3 linked regions of the Drosophila melanogaster genome follow. The protein of the gene in region 2 purifies or fractionates together with the protein of the main gene of each other region. This does not show direct contact. Each region holds a gene or a part of one and is shown on either strand. Other genes may lie near its edges.

Evidence for each region. The genes of interacting proteins can lie anywhere in the genome.
Region 1: the proteins of Dpit47 (region 2) and PolA2 purify together in Drosophila melanogaster (affinity purification with western blotting, with the first as the bait; one study listed by BioGRID). This does not show direct contact.
Region 3: the proteins of Dpit47 (region 2) and Prim1 purify together in Drosophila melanogaster (affinity purification with western blotting, with the first as the bait; one study listed by BioGRID). This does not show direct contact.

What each region holds. Positions count from the first base shown.
Region 1 is NT_033777.3:27,237,611-27,241,728, reverse strand, and holds PolA2 (DNA polymerase alpha subunit 2), read right to left. Parts: upstream 2,567-4,118; 5' UTR 2,456-2,566; coding exon 626-2,455; 3' UTR 501-625; downstream 1-500. Other genes in the region: CG17991 (uncharacterized protein), read right to left, coding at 1-397; CG31064 (uncharacterized protein), read left to right, coding at 3,906-4,118. UniProt on the Drosophila melanogaster protein: Accessory subunit of the DNA polymerase alpha complex (also known as the alpha DNA polymerase-primase complex) which plays an essential role in the initiation of DNA synthesis.
Region 2 is NT_033778.4:6,659,983-6,663,790, reverse strand, and holds Dpit47 (DNA polymerase interacting tpr containing protein of 47kD), read left to right. Parts: upstream 1-1,672; 5' UTR 1,673-1,862; coding exon 1,863-2,492; intron 2,493-2,549; coding exon 2,550-3,110; 3' UTR 3,111-3,146; downstream 3,147-3,808. Other genes in the region: Adf1 (Adh transcription factor 1), read right to left, coding at 1,034-1,222, 1,343-1,343. UniProt on the Drosophila melanogaster protein: May act as a co-chaperone for HSP83.
Region 3 is NT_037436.4:8,338,503-8,344,904, reverse strand, and holds Prim1 (DNA primase subunit 1), read right to left. Parts: upstream 4,592-6,402; 5' UTR 4,406-4,591; intron 4,121-4,405; exon of another isoform or gene 3,822-4,120; intron 3,759-3,821; exon of another isoform or gene 3,753-3,758; coding exon of another isoform or gene 2,436-3,752; exon of another isoform or gene 2,029-2,435; intron 1,940-2,028; 5' UTR 1,931-1,939; coding exon 1,771-1,930; intron 1,715-1,770; coding exon 558-1,714; 3' UTR 501-557; downstream 1-500. Other genes in the region: CG7182 (uncharacterized protein), read left to right, coding at 1-377; CG7083 (uncharacterized protein), read right to left, coding at 2,436-3,752; Pex2 (peroxin 2), read right to left, coding at 4,730-5,029, 5,084-5,515, 5,571-5,648, 5,715-5,750. UniProt on the Drosophila melanogaster protein: Catalytic subunit of the DNA primase complex and component of the DNA polymerase alpha complex (also known as the alpha DNA polymerase-primase complex) which play an essential role in the initiation of DNA synthesis.

The DNA.
Region 1 (4,118 bases), on a different chromosome or scaffold from region 2:
AATATGTTTTTGCTCCGAATGAAACCGCTGACCAATAGGCAAAGACCACCGTGAAGACATTGGCCAGGCAATTATATAAGTTTGTTAGGATAAGATCGTTGGTCAGCTCCAAAGCCCTATCGAAAATCCAGAGATTCGGGTATGCAATGGTGTACTCCGTTTGGCATTGTGGACAGGAAACGGCTTGCAGATTGTTGTTTATTCGGGTCTTCTCGTCGATCCAGAGGGAAATGCAGCTCTGGTGCACCCACTTATTGGTTCCTCGGCAGAGACATGGATTCACCCAAGCCTGGCGACCTGCCTCCTTATCGGTCTCAAAACAGATCCAGCAACAGCGCTCCAGTTCCGTCGAATCTCCTCCAGCTGAAGCTTGTGGCGCAGCAACGTTGCTAGCCATTATTGATCTTGTTGTATATAAAACTTGAGTCTGAGAAAACTCCAGGGCATATGTTTACAAATAATACAATACCTACTTTGGCCCAAAATAACTAATGCTAGTTGTTTGTTGTTGAATGTATTTTGTGAAAAGTTATGACAAAGTAGTGTGTTCATTATATTAACTAATAATATTGTACTGATCTATTTCCCACTATCCTTTCCTTATCATCATCACAAAGTGGTCAGGTTAGATGCGTTGGACTTGACACGCCACACTGTTGAACATGTTGGCCGCCTTTCCCGGCACCGAAGGCGCCACCAGGAATCGGGCGAAAGTTCCACCCTTCTTGTCCGCGACACGGCCGGGATTGATCACCAGGCAGTCGTTGACCAAGCGGATGAAATGCCGCTGATCGCTGGGCAAGATGAGCACATTTGGTAGCTGTTTGAGCTGTGCATATTTCAACGCCAGCTGGGAATCGTAGGCCATGTCTTCGTCCGCCGGCGGATACAAAGGATAGAAGGAGCCCTGGTGGAACAAGTGGTTGATGGCCCTGTGCATCCGCTCGCCGGCATTCACAGCAAACTCGTGACTCAACAGGTGGTCCACCACGTCGGTTGAGGTAACGCCCAGCGTAAAGCCATCCAAGTCCACCAGAGATGGATCGGGCAGCATGTATAGATTTGGATAGGTTCTGCGCAGAGCGGGCGGCGGCGTTGGATATACGGAAAGAGCCATGGCATCCTTCTGACTGGTCACCACCAGCACTGCTGTGTGACTACCAATCGACTCCATTATTCCCCCAATCATCTTCTCGAAGAATGTATCGAAGGTCTCGGCCAGTTCGCCGACCATCTTGTGATCGGCATCCAGGAATGGTCCCGTGAGCACCAGCACGTCAGGTCTGTGATCCTTGAGGTACTTGAGCAGGTCGTGCAGCGGTTCGTAGAAGAGATCCGTACTGTCCGTAAAGGGTCCGGAGGCCACCACAAACTGAAGCTCCCTGTCTATTTGCAGTGGCGTTGCTGGCGTCAGTTTGCGCTCTGTGTGTATCTCCTCTACCATGAAGGTTTTGCCCCTGGGTATGAACCCTTTGGCGAGCACCACTTGACCTGGGAATATGCTGGCAGACTTGACCCTGGAGAAGTTGAGCGTGAGCGTTGGGTCCATTTCATCTTCTACATCGTCATCTAAAACGGCCATAAATGCGGAGTGGGCGTCCAGTGGGCCATCGTCCTCGGAATGAATCATTCCCACCGCGTGGAGTCCACCTGCGGACTGCAATACCTGCCTATCCTGCGGATACCAAATGCACTCGGCTGCGCCTGCTTGTCCAAGTTTCTTGTCCACTAGTGCCGGACCGGTTTGGTTGAAGCGGACGCGCAGGTTGTGACATCGGTCGGTCAGCAGGTCGTTCATGTAGCCCAAATTTGCGATGGTCAGCGGGGCGTCGTTGTGCAGCAGTTTTTGAGTCACCGGAACCGTGTGCTCCATTTGTGACTGCCAGCTGGAGCCAGCCAGGAGTTTGGGATGTCCGAAGGTGTCAACTATATCGCCCGGCTTGCCGGCCACTGAGTTGGATGGTGTTTCTAAACCTGCTTTCCTCTTTGCCGATTGGGGTGTATAGCTGGCGGGGCTAAAGAGTGCGGCGCCCTTGAGATTGGCGGTCCGATCCGACTGCTTCTTGGCCTTGGGCGTGTGCAGAGCGGAGGAGTCCACTGCCGATTCGCTGACATAGTCATCCAGCATGGGATCGTCCTCCATGACGCCATAGGTGGCCAGTGAGCTCGTATCCTGTACAGAGGGCGAACCATATGATTTCGCCTTCTGGCCAGTTGCCTTGTATCCCGCCTTGTCCTTCCGCAGCTGCAACACCTTGCGCTCAAAGTCGCCCAGATTCTCGATCGCAGGATCCTCGCCTTGGAGGTGCGACAAACTGAAGGCCATCCACTGCTCCACGAACTCGGTGGCGTCGTGGATGTTGTAGGTAATGGCCAGCTCCGCACACCTGCCCAGAACTGCGTCCGCTGGCTCCACGCCCATCTCGTCGAACTGCTGCTTCAATTCCTCCTCCATTCGTTGTCCTTTCGTTGGGCGTTTAATTTTCGTAAATAAACCTAGCAATTTATTTTGGCGGTAAAAGTGGGCACAGTGTTGCCACCCTATGATGCTTTTAACACCTGCTTGAGTTTTCTTATCGATAAGCATAGTCAGTTCAATAACATAACAGCTCCCATCGAGCTGCGATAACCGTGATCTGTAACCAGTGATTGTTATCGCCCATCCCCAATCGCAGTGCAACAGCTGTTTTAATTTTGTATTGACAAACTTTTTTGTTTACCCGCGTTCAAGCGCAAAACAAGCGAAATTAGCGGCTGTAATCGCGTCATTTTGATTCATGTGACTCCGCACAGTGTCCTGATAATCGCCGCGAAGCAAGTGATTCGCCATGAGCACGGACGATCTGCTGGTGCGCCGCGAAAGGAGTGAAGACTCCCAATCCTCGAGTGTCTCCATTCCGGTTACGCCCACCACCGGAGGTGCCGCGCCTGCGCCCAGCGCCCCCACGTCATCGCTGGACCGCCTGCGGAACACCTTCCGGCGCACGGAGAGCATCTCCTCGCAGATCTTCAGCCACATATCCACACAGTTCTCGAATGCGGCCGCAGCAGCCGCCTCTTCCGAGGTAATCGATGGCACCACCACGTACCCGTATCCCGACGAGCCCGCACCACCTGTTGTACCTGTTGCGCCGGACACGGTGGCGAGCGCCAGTGCTTCATCCCCGTCGCCATCGAAACTGAAAGCAAAGCGACTGAAACGCGGTGAGTCCGAATTATTATTCATTCGATGATAAGCAGCAATGGAAACCAAATTTCCATTGTGCGCTAATAATAATATGTTAAGTAATAATGTTGCATATATAAAATATATTATATATAATATATATAAATATATACACATATATATTTAATATAACAATTTAGGTACTCAAAACTATTCTAAAATGTATTTATTAATTAGTATTAGCAATTTCGTGGGCTGTGCGAAACTGTCGTTGAAATATTTCGGTACTTGTATAAATAATATGATTAAAAATAACTTAAAAGTGCATTGGGAAAGTGTCAAAGGTGATTTGCGCACCACACACAGCGTGACCATCGAGAACACCCCCAACGAAAGCTCGCGAGGAGCTTGCGAGCTTGGCGCACTGGACAAATCAATAGGATAAAGAACTTTTTGCCAGTCTTACTCAACGCGTACACAACAGGATAACGGTGCAAAATCAAAGCGGCGAGAACTTTCGGTTATTTTGTTAATTTCAGAAGTAAAACCCTCTGGAAAAGAGGTTTACAAAAGGAAAAAACCCCTCTAAGGTAATGAAAAAACAGTTGAGGGAAAGCGGCAGCAAAGGAAACTCGGAACTTATTGAACAGCTAATATCGATATATGTATATATCTGTATTTTTATGGACGCCCACGCACACACACACACTACTCAGGCGTACTTTGAAGCAGCAGCGAAATGCGTGGACTTGTCGAGGATACAAAAAGGACCAAGTTGTCGTCGGCGAACAACAACAACCTCAGCAGCACCAGCGGCAGCGGTCGCATCAAGTCGAGCAGCCTTGCAACAGGATCAAGTGCCAGCGGCAGCAGCTCGAAGCCCTTGAGAAGTGCAGTGAAAACGCCAACATCGGGCAGCGCGACGTCATTGTCGTCAGGAACAATGGCTGCC
Region 2 (3,808 bases):
CGACTCCCGCTGCCCGCTGCCAGGAGACGGAAACCTGTGGCATTGCTGCTGGCTCCACTTGACTGCAACTCCAGCTTTCCAGCCACCTACTTGCATAATCGAAAGCGGATGAGGTGCAGCGATTTGGCCGAAAATTTAAGGTTCGATCAACGGCCGTCGAGGGGGTGGGGTGAACGGTACATTTTGTTGGTATACTCATGAAAACGAAACGAAAGCTGCCTGGTCGGTCTCCGGTATGTACAGTGGGACTCTGAAGTGTTGACACAGCTGTTCTAATTTGTGCTTATCTATTGACCTTTCCAAAGCCCTATATTTTAATTTTCCGAATTCTCATCCTATTCAATATTAAAATAAAATCCATAGTTTCGTCTAAAGAACTGAGCAACTTATTTATTTTACTAATAAATACGTATTTATAACCCGTGCCAAACTGTTTTCTGCCACTGTATGCTGTATGCATGTATACGTGTGTGAGCAGCGCACATCGCAGTCGCAGTGTACGAAAATAAACGCTGGCGCAAGCAGAATGGCTGCGGAGCGAGCGAGACAACTACTGCGACGCGACGGCAAAGTACAGCAACTTCAAAAATATCGACTGAGCACAGTCTGCACACCGACAGAGCAAGCAGGGCCGCAGTCCGAGCGCCCGAAAGGGGCGCTCATTTTAGAGCAGATCTTTACAGATAGAAATTAACCTAGGTTTAATTACTAATGAACTGTATTCTAAATGCAACCATATAAATGCAGTAAAAAAAGTTCGCATAAAATGCAATTTATGAGCGGTGCAGCCCGCGCCCACCCTCACACGTATAGATCCCCCCCTGCCATTTCCTAACCATCAGCCAGCTACTGCGCCGCGTCGCCGTTCACTTTTGCGTCGTTTTCTGTCGTCGTCGTCGACTGACTTGTCCCGCCCCTTCGACCTGCGCCCGCACAGAATTAATCAATTGGCTGGGGCTGGTTGGGGCACGGACCGAAGACGGCTGACAGAAAGCAGAAAACCCGTAGCCAAAACCAGCCGAATTTCACTTACCAGGCACACCGAGCGTTTCGGCGATTTGTTTCCAGGTCTGGGCCTTGCGCACAAAGTGCTTGTAATTGTAGTGCGACCTGTCGTATATCACTGGGTTCAGCTTGACAGCCTCGATGAGATTGAGATCAAACTGCTGCTCAAGATTGGCATCCAGCTTGTCCATCTCAATGGCCGCCGTGAGGGTATGCACTGAGGGGACAAGACGGGGAAACAAGAGTTACAAATTTAGCGGGGACGAGACGGACGTGGACTGGGTCGGATCCCAGTTCCAAACTGGGCACACGGGCTCCCGCAGCCGACGACACTCACTTTGCTTCTTACGTTTGCTAATTGTTGTTAAGTATTTGGCGCGAACGCACGCTCTGTTTGTTTTTATTTTGATTGGTTTCTTCTACGAGGAAGGAACGTCGACGTTTTAATTTTATTTCTCAGTCGCGTCTCTGCCAACGGTAACGGTACGTCCCAGCTCAGTCGCGTCTCTGCCAATTAGGGGTGGGAAAACGCCGATGAAGGGGTCATCAGCGCATCGATAATTTTAAAACTCTCATACAATAACAATATGTTATGGCGACTATCGATGTTTCTGATATATCACAACAGCTGCGTAAAGCGTCAAAAGGCTTAAAGTTTTACCATGTTAAGATTTAAGATGTTAAGATCATAATTCGTTCCGAGTTTAGCTCGTTTAAAGAAGGAAGCGTACGACTATCGATAGACGGAGGGCCACCCTTATTTTAGAGGCGCCACCTTTAGGAAATGTGCGGCACCTTTGGCCAGTTGGTATATTGTAACGGTTCGTCTGCGGTCACACTGTTTCTGATTAGACCAAATGAAACAAATGGCGGCACAAAAAGCCTGGACGGATGAGGAGCGTCTGGAGCTGGCGGCCCAGCTGGACGCGGAACTGGATGCGTTTATCGATGGCCTGGAGAAGAAACGTTACGAGGAGGGCTGGCCGGAGGACCGCTGGCAGGAGGAGATGGACAAGCACCCGTTCTTCATGAAACGTGCTCCTCAGCCAGGGGATGACGTGCATCCGATGTTCGAGGGTCTGCAGAAGCTCAAGTACGATCCGGAGGAGAACACGCGCGACGAGCTGGCGCTCAACTACAAGGAGGATGGCAACTTTTACATGAAGCACAAGAAGTTCCGCATGGCAATCTACAGCTTTACCGAGGGCATCAAGACCAAGACGGACAATCCCGACGTGCTAGCCGTTCTCTACAACAACCGCTCGGCGGCTCACTTCTTCATCAAGAACTACAGATCCTCGCTGAGCGACGCCCAGCGAGCTCTGTTCTACAAGCCAGACTACACAAAGGCCCGCTGGCGGTCGGCACAGTGTGCGTACGAGCTGGAGAGGTTCGATCTGTGCACCCAGATGTGCGAGGAGCTGCTCGAGGTGGACGTCGACAACGAGGTGGCCATCGCGCTGCTGCACAAGAACAAGATGAAGAAGGTTAGAATACGTGATCCAACTGGATAGGAACCCACATTAAACAAGTTATTTCCGTAGCTCGAGATAGAACGCAATCAGCGCAAGGAAGCTGCCGAGGCAAAGCGACGGCTTACACGCTTCCACAGACTCCGCGACGCCATCGAGCAGCGCGCCATTAAGTTTGACGATCAAAAAGTTGGCAAAAAGGACGTCCTCAGTGAGGAGCTCCTTTATCCAAAGTTTCTGCCTTTGGAGGACCATCCGGTGCACCTAGACGAGGACGGCAGCACTCTGATCTGGCCGGCTGCGTTCTCCTACCCCGAGTTCCTGTACAGCGACTTTTATCAGCAGCTGCCGGAGACCACCACCATGCGGGATTGCCTGGCGACGCTGCTCACCGAAAAGCTGCCATACGACAAGGCACACAACTACCGCCTGGGTAACGTGCACGTTTACTACGAGAACCGCAAGGTGGGCTGTGTCCACAAGGTGGACGAGGAGAAGCAGCTGGCCGAGATAATCGCCGAAAAGGGGTTTTTCGTTTCCGGTGGCGCTCTGCTCTTCTATGTGGTGCACAAGGATTCGCGAGTGGAACAGGAGTTTATAAACGAACGGCGACGACCCATGGTTTACAGTTAAGACAGTGAGCAAATAAAGTGATTCCTTCTTGAAAACAAACAAACACCTTTTCATTTGCTTGTAAAGTTTACTTCATTTTTGTGGCATATTTTATTTGTAAGCTTATGGTTTAGTCACGGTACAGTTCAGCATTGGTTATGCTATCTTGAAGCATTTTATTGTAAGTTTAACTAATCTCTGATATGTTATGCGAAGCCGAAAAGCGTAGTTCAGGCTACGCCGCCAAAAAATATCTGATGCGGCGTAAGCCCATTTTGGTAGACGATTAATCATCTGTAGAATTGAAAATTGTTTAGCTAAATTTAGTTTTTCTTTAACAACAAGGCGCCTAAATGAGTCAACAATGTGGTTTTTGGTTTAATACGTATAAAAGCGTTTTTGTAAATTTTCATAATTGAGCATATTCTTAGACATTCATCGTTGGTTCACAACAGTAGTAATACTAGGGGACCCCCCAAGTGGATCCGGATATGGTTCGTTAAAATACATTTGACAAAGCAGGATGACCATACATATAAGGCTTAATACTAAGTGCATCGTGGGAAAGCGTATTATATACTCGGATAACATAATAATCAACTTGTCGAACTAATCAGATCACATTCACAAGAAACTACAACATAAATAGCGAAATGGTTAAAAAGCAGTTTGTGTCCACAGCGAAGTGTTAAACATGGTTACGGAAAACGGAGAATCCA
Region 3 (6,402 bases), on a different chromosome or scaffold from region 2:
GCTGCGCGCGCCAAGCTGTGTGCCTGATTGACCCCCTCGAACAGCAGCTTCACAAGGAGGAGGATTGCGTGGTGGCTGAGGATGACCTCTTCATTTGGCACGGTAATGACGAATCCAACGCCAAATTGGTCCTGGGCAGGGGGAGCGTTCTGCCTGCCAAAATACGGATATCACTGCCCCAATCAGAGGAGGGAAAGGGTGACGACGTAAGCAAAGCAGCTGCTTCGTTTAAGCTGCGCACCGGGGAGAGCGAGATCCTGGCCCGTCTGCCCGACAGCACGATACCGGAGGATGGGCTTTACCAGCTAGAGGTTGAGGTAGATGTGGACGATAAGGACGGCAACGTGGTGCCGCTGGTGCGACTGCGCTGCATGTGAGAGCCGGATTGTGAACCGGAACCGGTGCGATGTCGCCTAGACTATTTATTGTTGCTAGCCTAATGATTACAATACAAAAACTTAATAAAGATAAATACGCAAGCGGCAAACGAGAAAGTGTATGCATACTGAAATATTCATTAACCTTTTATTTTCTTATGTTAGTTTGTAAAATTAGAATCAAAACTGCAAGCTGGCAGATTTCTGGCTGCGCTCCAGTTTTCGCAGGAACTCCTCGAAAACCACGACACCCTTGAACATGCTAGTCTTCTTGTGATCCTTGATGCGGCTCTTATCCTCCGGCGCCTCCATGTAGCTCTTGCTCTTATCATCGAAAGCGTTGATCTCGTGAAGCAACTGGGTGATCGTCGGCACTGTGGTGGGATCAAACTTGGCCACAGCACTCACACTAAACGGAACGCACACTTTTCCAGTGGCTGGATGAATGCAAAACGGTGCCTTTAGCAAATGATTGAATCCCCTAGTGACATTGATGTCCAAACGAGGATAGAGCAGTCCAAGCTGGATTTCGGCTACAATGTTCTTCAGCTTGCGACTCCAGGCACTTGTCGTGGATGTTCTCATAGAGTTGGCGTACTTAATGAAGCTCTCCCAAACGAGTCGCGAGTGTGCTCCATCCTCCAAATTCTTTTGCATATAAGATTCTAGTTCGCCACGCGCAGCGTCATCGTGGACCATGTTAAGAAGTTTGGTAACTCCCTTGGGAGTTCCAAAAAGATTCTGATCCTCTAGTACAATCTCCTCGAACATGGGCTCCACTATCTTTAAGGCTCTCTTTAGGCTATGATGCGGTCGGTCTCCCATTGAACATCTGGGTGAATTGCCGCCCGCGAAACTGGCATAGGTAATAATGTTAAGGTATTCCGCCACAGCATAGCGACCACGTCCGTCCAAGTGACGGGCTTGGTAGTCGCAAACCCAGCAATGGATACCTCGTCTACCTGAGAAAATCCAGATTATGTGCTCGAAACCGAAATCCTCGCGCAAAGCGACATCCAAAACCCTGGCAGCCAGCACCATAAACTTCCAGCATTTCAGGCATACCCCTGCTCCAGAGCAACAGGTACGCACCTCGTCGTAATCCGTCATATCTATATCAAAAACGAGTTCACGTTGTACGGGCGTTAAGCCGCCAGGAATTGAACGATGGTTTTTGGGTTTGGAATGCATTACTGGTCCTATGTCAATCTTAATAGGATTCCTCGAGCAGATCTCCTTTTCCAATTCAGCTTGGGTATCAAAGCAGAGGTAACGTATGTAGATATCGTCCTGCAGTGTAAAGGAAATTTCACGATTGGAAAAGATAGCATCCTCGGCTGAAAAGAATAATGATCAACGGCTATTTTTAAGGATTGTAGTTGGGTGTACTTACATGATCCATACGATAGCCAACGGTAGAAGGGCAGGTGGGGAAAGAGGCGCCTGTAATACACGGGCAACATATCCTGCAGGACTTCGGGATTGTAGGCATGCACAGCAGTAGTCTGCTGCTGTGGAGCCTGGTTCTCCTGATCTGTGACTTGTTCGGGCATTTTAAGAAACTGAAAATAAACCACATATCTTATGATTATATCCAGAAAAAGAACAGAATACTTATAACCGTAAAGAAATCAAAACCATTCAGCTTTTTGTCGAAACCTTATATTTATATATTTTTTTGCTGATTTTTTCTTTTTCAAAGAGAGATACACGATTGGAGCTTAAAGTACTGAAATATATTAACGACATGCATTTTTTAAACGTAAGAGGCTTATTAATTGTCAGTTATGGGTCGAAACAAATTGAATCGAGCTATCGCAATGGAATACCGCAGAATGAACCTGGTCAGAGAGTTCGTCCGATGATTGGCTTAGCTTACATTGGAAATCTACGTCTACCATGTATATATATATATCTATATATTACTATATAATGTATGTGTCTACTTTACGGCTATGTTAGATCATTGTTGTAGCTTAAAGATTAGAGCACGACCGGCGGGCTTTCCCTTGTTCAGCATCATGGAGCAGCGAAAGGAGCCCAGTAAATTCCACAACTTTAGGCCACTGTGAGGCGAATGTCTTGCATTTTGTGCTGCTGCCAGGAATGCGCTGGCTGCCTGGGAGGCGCAGTATTGTAGAGCGTTACCGAGGCGATGTGGCTATTGGGCATCACCTCGAAAATCAGGTCTTGGTAGCCATAGCAAAAGGTGGAGCCGAACGGATTCGCTGTGTTCGTCGAGCTGGCGCGATGCAGCACCACTGGCCGCTCTGAGGTGGCCAATGCGCTGCTGATCGCGTCCCATTTGGTGTAGGCGGTTATGTTCACATGTTCCTGCTTAGTCGGCGTCACCAAATCGTGACCACTATCACTCATCGAAGGGTGATCCGCCTGCAGCAGGAACTGGAACTCGCAGCGATGGTACATATTAAAGTTGAAGTGACCGGGGTAGTTGGTGTGCAGAATGAATTTCTTGCAGGTCTGCGTCCGTGCATCAAAGAGCACATCGATGCCAAGTGTAAAGTAGTTAAAGAAAATATCGCTTCGCTTGCTCTGTGCTTGTCGATTGACACTCGAGCTGTGTATCTTCATTTTGTCCTCGCTCTTGAAGAATATACGATTGGGTGCTCCAAGACTGGTGGCCACATCCTCGCAGCTATCGCCGAAGAGCAGCTCTCGCGTAAAGCACTGACGGCGTGGCTCCAAAGCCCTTCCTGAACCCTCAGTAAAGAGCTTCAGCTTCAGACCCTTCGTGTGACCAAAGGCGGTTCGGAGAACAGTGGCCGATTCCAAATACATCTGGCGGTGATAGCAGGACAAGGGAAGAGATGGTACCCTGTTCTCCAACACATTGCTGCCTGCGTAGAGAGACATCTTGGACACGACGGGTGAGGCGCCATTCAGGAAAACCAGAGAACTCAGTCCATGGGCGTAGCCCGAGTGCAGCTTGCTGTCCACCGGAAAGTAGAAACTCAGCCCGCGAAAGTGTAGAGCAAACAATTGTTTGGCTGCATCGTAAACCCCAGGATGTGTGGCTCCAAAGGAGTGCTCGATTTGCTCGATACTCGGCAGCACCTCCGGGGAATTGAAGTATACGCCGAAATACCGCAGCTTCACCAGTTTCATGTTGAAAACCTCGATGGTCTTCAAACGCTGACTGACGGGATCAAAGATCAAGCGAACGCCATCCTGTGGCAGGTTGATAATGATGTCCACGCCCAGGGGAGTGGTATCCGAGTACAGCACCTGGACTCCCTTGATGATGCCCACCTGCGACTGGATGATGGCGATAGCCTGCGAGAAGTGCATGCCCAGCACAAATTCCCAGGCATCGCAGCCCAGGGAAATCTCCGGCACGATCTCCAGATCTAGCATTTTCACCTGGGGGTTTTTAAGGGATCTTGGTTTGTTATTGTTGTTGCTGCGAGTCGTCAACTTACTGACCTTGATATGTGAAATCAGTTCGCGTTGCGAATATATTTAAACAATTATATATATACGCAATTGATGGCCAAGTGTATTTGTTATTATTTCAGCACTTTCTGTTTTCAATTGTTTGCTCTCGTTTTCTTATTTTCGCTGGTTATGCCTTTATTTATTTTTATGCAATTACGCAACTCCAAAAAAATTGTTTAATTCGTGGGTTTCCAACTACTTGTCGTGTTCTTGGTGAAGCGATTAATTGTATTGTTTTCTTCAAAAAAATTCGGACAAAGACGAAATGCGCAGCAGAAAAATGAGATAATAACAAAGTAATGGCGTTGCCACATCGCCGCAGGCAGCTGATTCGCGAAATTGCAAAACAAATTGGGTGTGGCTTTGCCACCCAAAAAATATGAATATTAATCATGTTCTTAGTCTATCTATCTAATCTAGTGGCTTAAATACGGTTAGAGCTACTTAACAGTTGAGTTCATATAATTGCTTAATTTATTTGCCACATTTGGCAACGCTGGTTGAGAATGCAACAGCTGTTCCCATATTTTCGCGCGCTTTTTATTTACCAAAGATAGGGATTTAGAACTTACTTTTTGATCTTAACTGTTGTTCTTGGAAAATCAGCAGTTAACTTTGGATCCGCAAGGCTTTATACTTCGCCCTAAACAGTTTTTGCTTTTTATTTTCGTTTAATTATACACTTTTTATGTAGTTTATATCGCACGACTCCTGGCACTGGGCAAGTAAATAATAGCTGTTTTTGTACGACTACCAACACTACTCTGCTTGCTAACACTAAAAGTACACACATTTGGCGGAATATGAAAATGATTTGTTTATTACTTACAGCCCACTTTTCGCTTAAAACTAATAAAAGACATATAAAACCATCACATGCACTATATTCCTATTTATCAGACACTTTGGATTCCCGACTCAGGACACGCAGAACCGCAGTTGGGGCAGCAGAAACTGGCATCCGTTAAAACATTTGCATTAAGGCAGTAATAGCAATAAATATGACCACAGCCCATGTGGTGGGGCAATGTGGGTCGCTCTCCACAGAATGTGCAGGTGGTGCTTAGTGTCATCTGCGGCGCCAGGAAAGCCGGACCATCTCTATCCTCTAACCGTCGTCCGGAAAATGTCCATGATTTTAGCACTCTTTGTAGCTTACGGAAATTGATGATGGGCAACACCAGTCCGAGGATTTCCTATAATATACACTGTAATATATATGTATAATAAGCAAACTAACTAACACGCACCATAAATCCTCCCCACAGCAGCTCCCTCGTTAGGTACTTGTAGCCAATGTCTCTCCTTTGATTGTTCCGCAGACTAATGTAGTCCAATCCCAATAAGTAGTCCACCAAAGTGGGTTTTCGTCCTGTCTTCAGGAACCGAAAGTAATTGAGGATGTTCAGTATCAGGGCACTGTTCTCCACCCACATAATCGCCTCGCTAAACCATTCTACGCGCCTTGTTAAGCGTCGCTCCTCCCAGCTCTTCACGTAGCCCGGCAAGACGGTCAGGATGAAATGGAGCACCAGCCTGGAAACGGTCAGCTTTTCGGCATCGTAAGCCAGAACCAGTAGCTGTTGGCCAAAAGTGGAGCACCGCTTGCCGACGGAACCAAACCAAATTGCGGATTGAATGATCAAGTCGAGCTCCGGTTGGATTTTGATGAACAAAACGGGCTGTGAGAGATATACAGTATATATTGGCCAATTATGGTAGTGTTCATATACTCACTGAGATGGCTTGCAAGTTCTCCAGCAGATTATCGCGTATCAGGCGGGCAATGTCCTTGTTCAAATAGATGGCATCTATCTAAAAGGTAAACATGTATAATTTTAGTGGTTTTAATTCATGAATAGCTCACCATAATTAGCTCACCTGATTTACACGTGGTACATATTTGTTTTTCTCCATTATTTTGTTTATATTCTTGCCTTTGGTTAGCTGACCATTGATATATTTCTTATTTATATGTACTCTGCCCTTTCTTATCAATTAGAGATGGCAATTGTAAAGAAAGTTTACTAGTCATTATCGACATTTTTAAACAGTGCTGGTAAACTATATCGACAAACCCCGCCAAATTTAAACTAGCCATACTAGCAATGCGGTTTGATTTTTTATTTATTGCTAATTGAAATCAGCTTATATATCAATTACATCGACATTTCGAAGAAACTCCAAGTCTTTTAACCATTTAGGAAGCATTTTCCGTCAACATTTCAATTAAGGCTTATGCAATTTCAATGAAAACAAATACAAGAAACCACAATGAACTGAAGAACTCGTTTGGGATCCGGAAAATGTGTCTAACGATGTCTGGTAATTTGTGGAAATCTTGCCCATTGCCGTTTACGTCTGGAAACGCATAAACCAGTTGGTCAGCTGAGACATTTGGTCATTTGTTTGAGGAGTGCAAGTTCAATGATTGGCCCCGGCTGAAAAAATTATGGCCAGTGGTCGGGTGAGTTTTGATTTTATAAAAAGTACATAATTCACACTTTATTACACAATTTACAATTTCTTCGTTCGATCTCTGTTTTACGAGAAGACATAAGTATACATT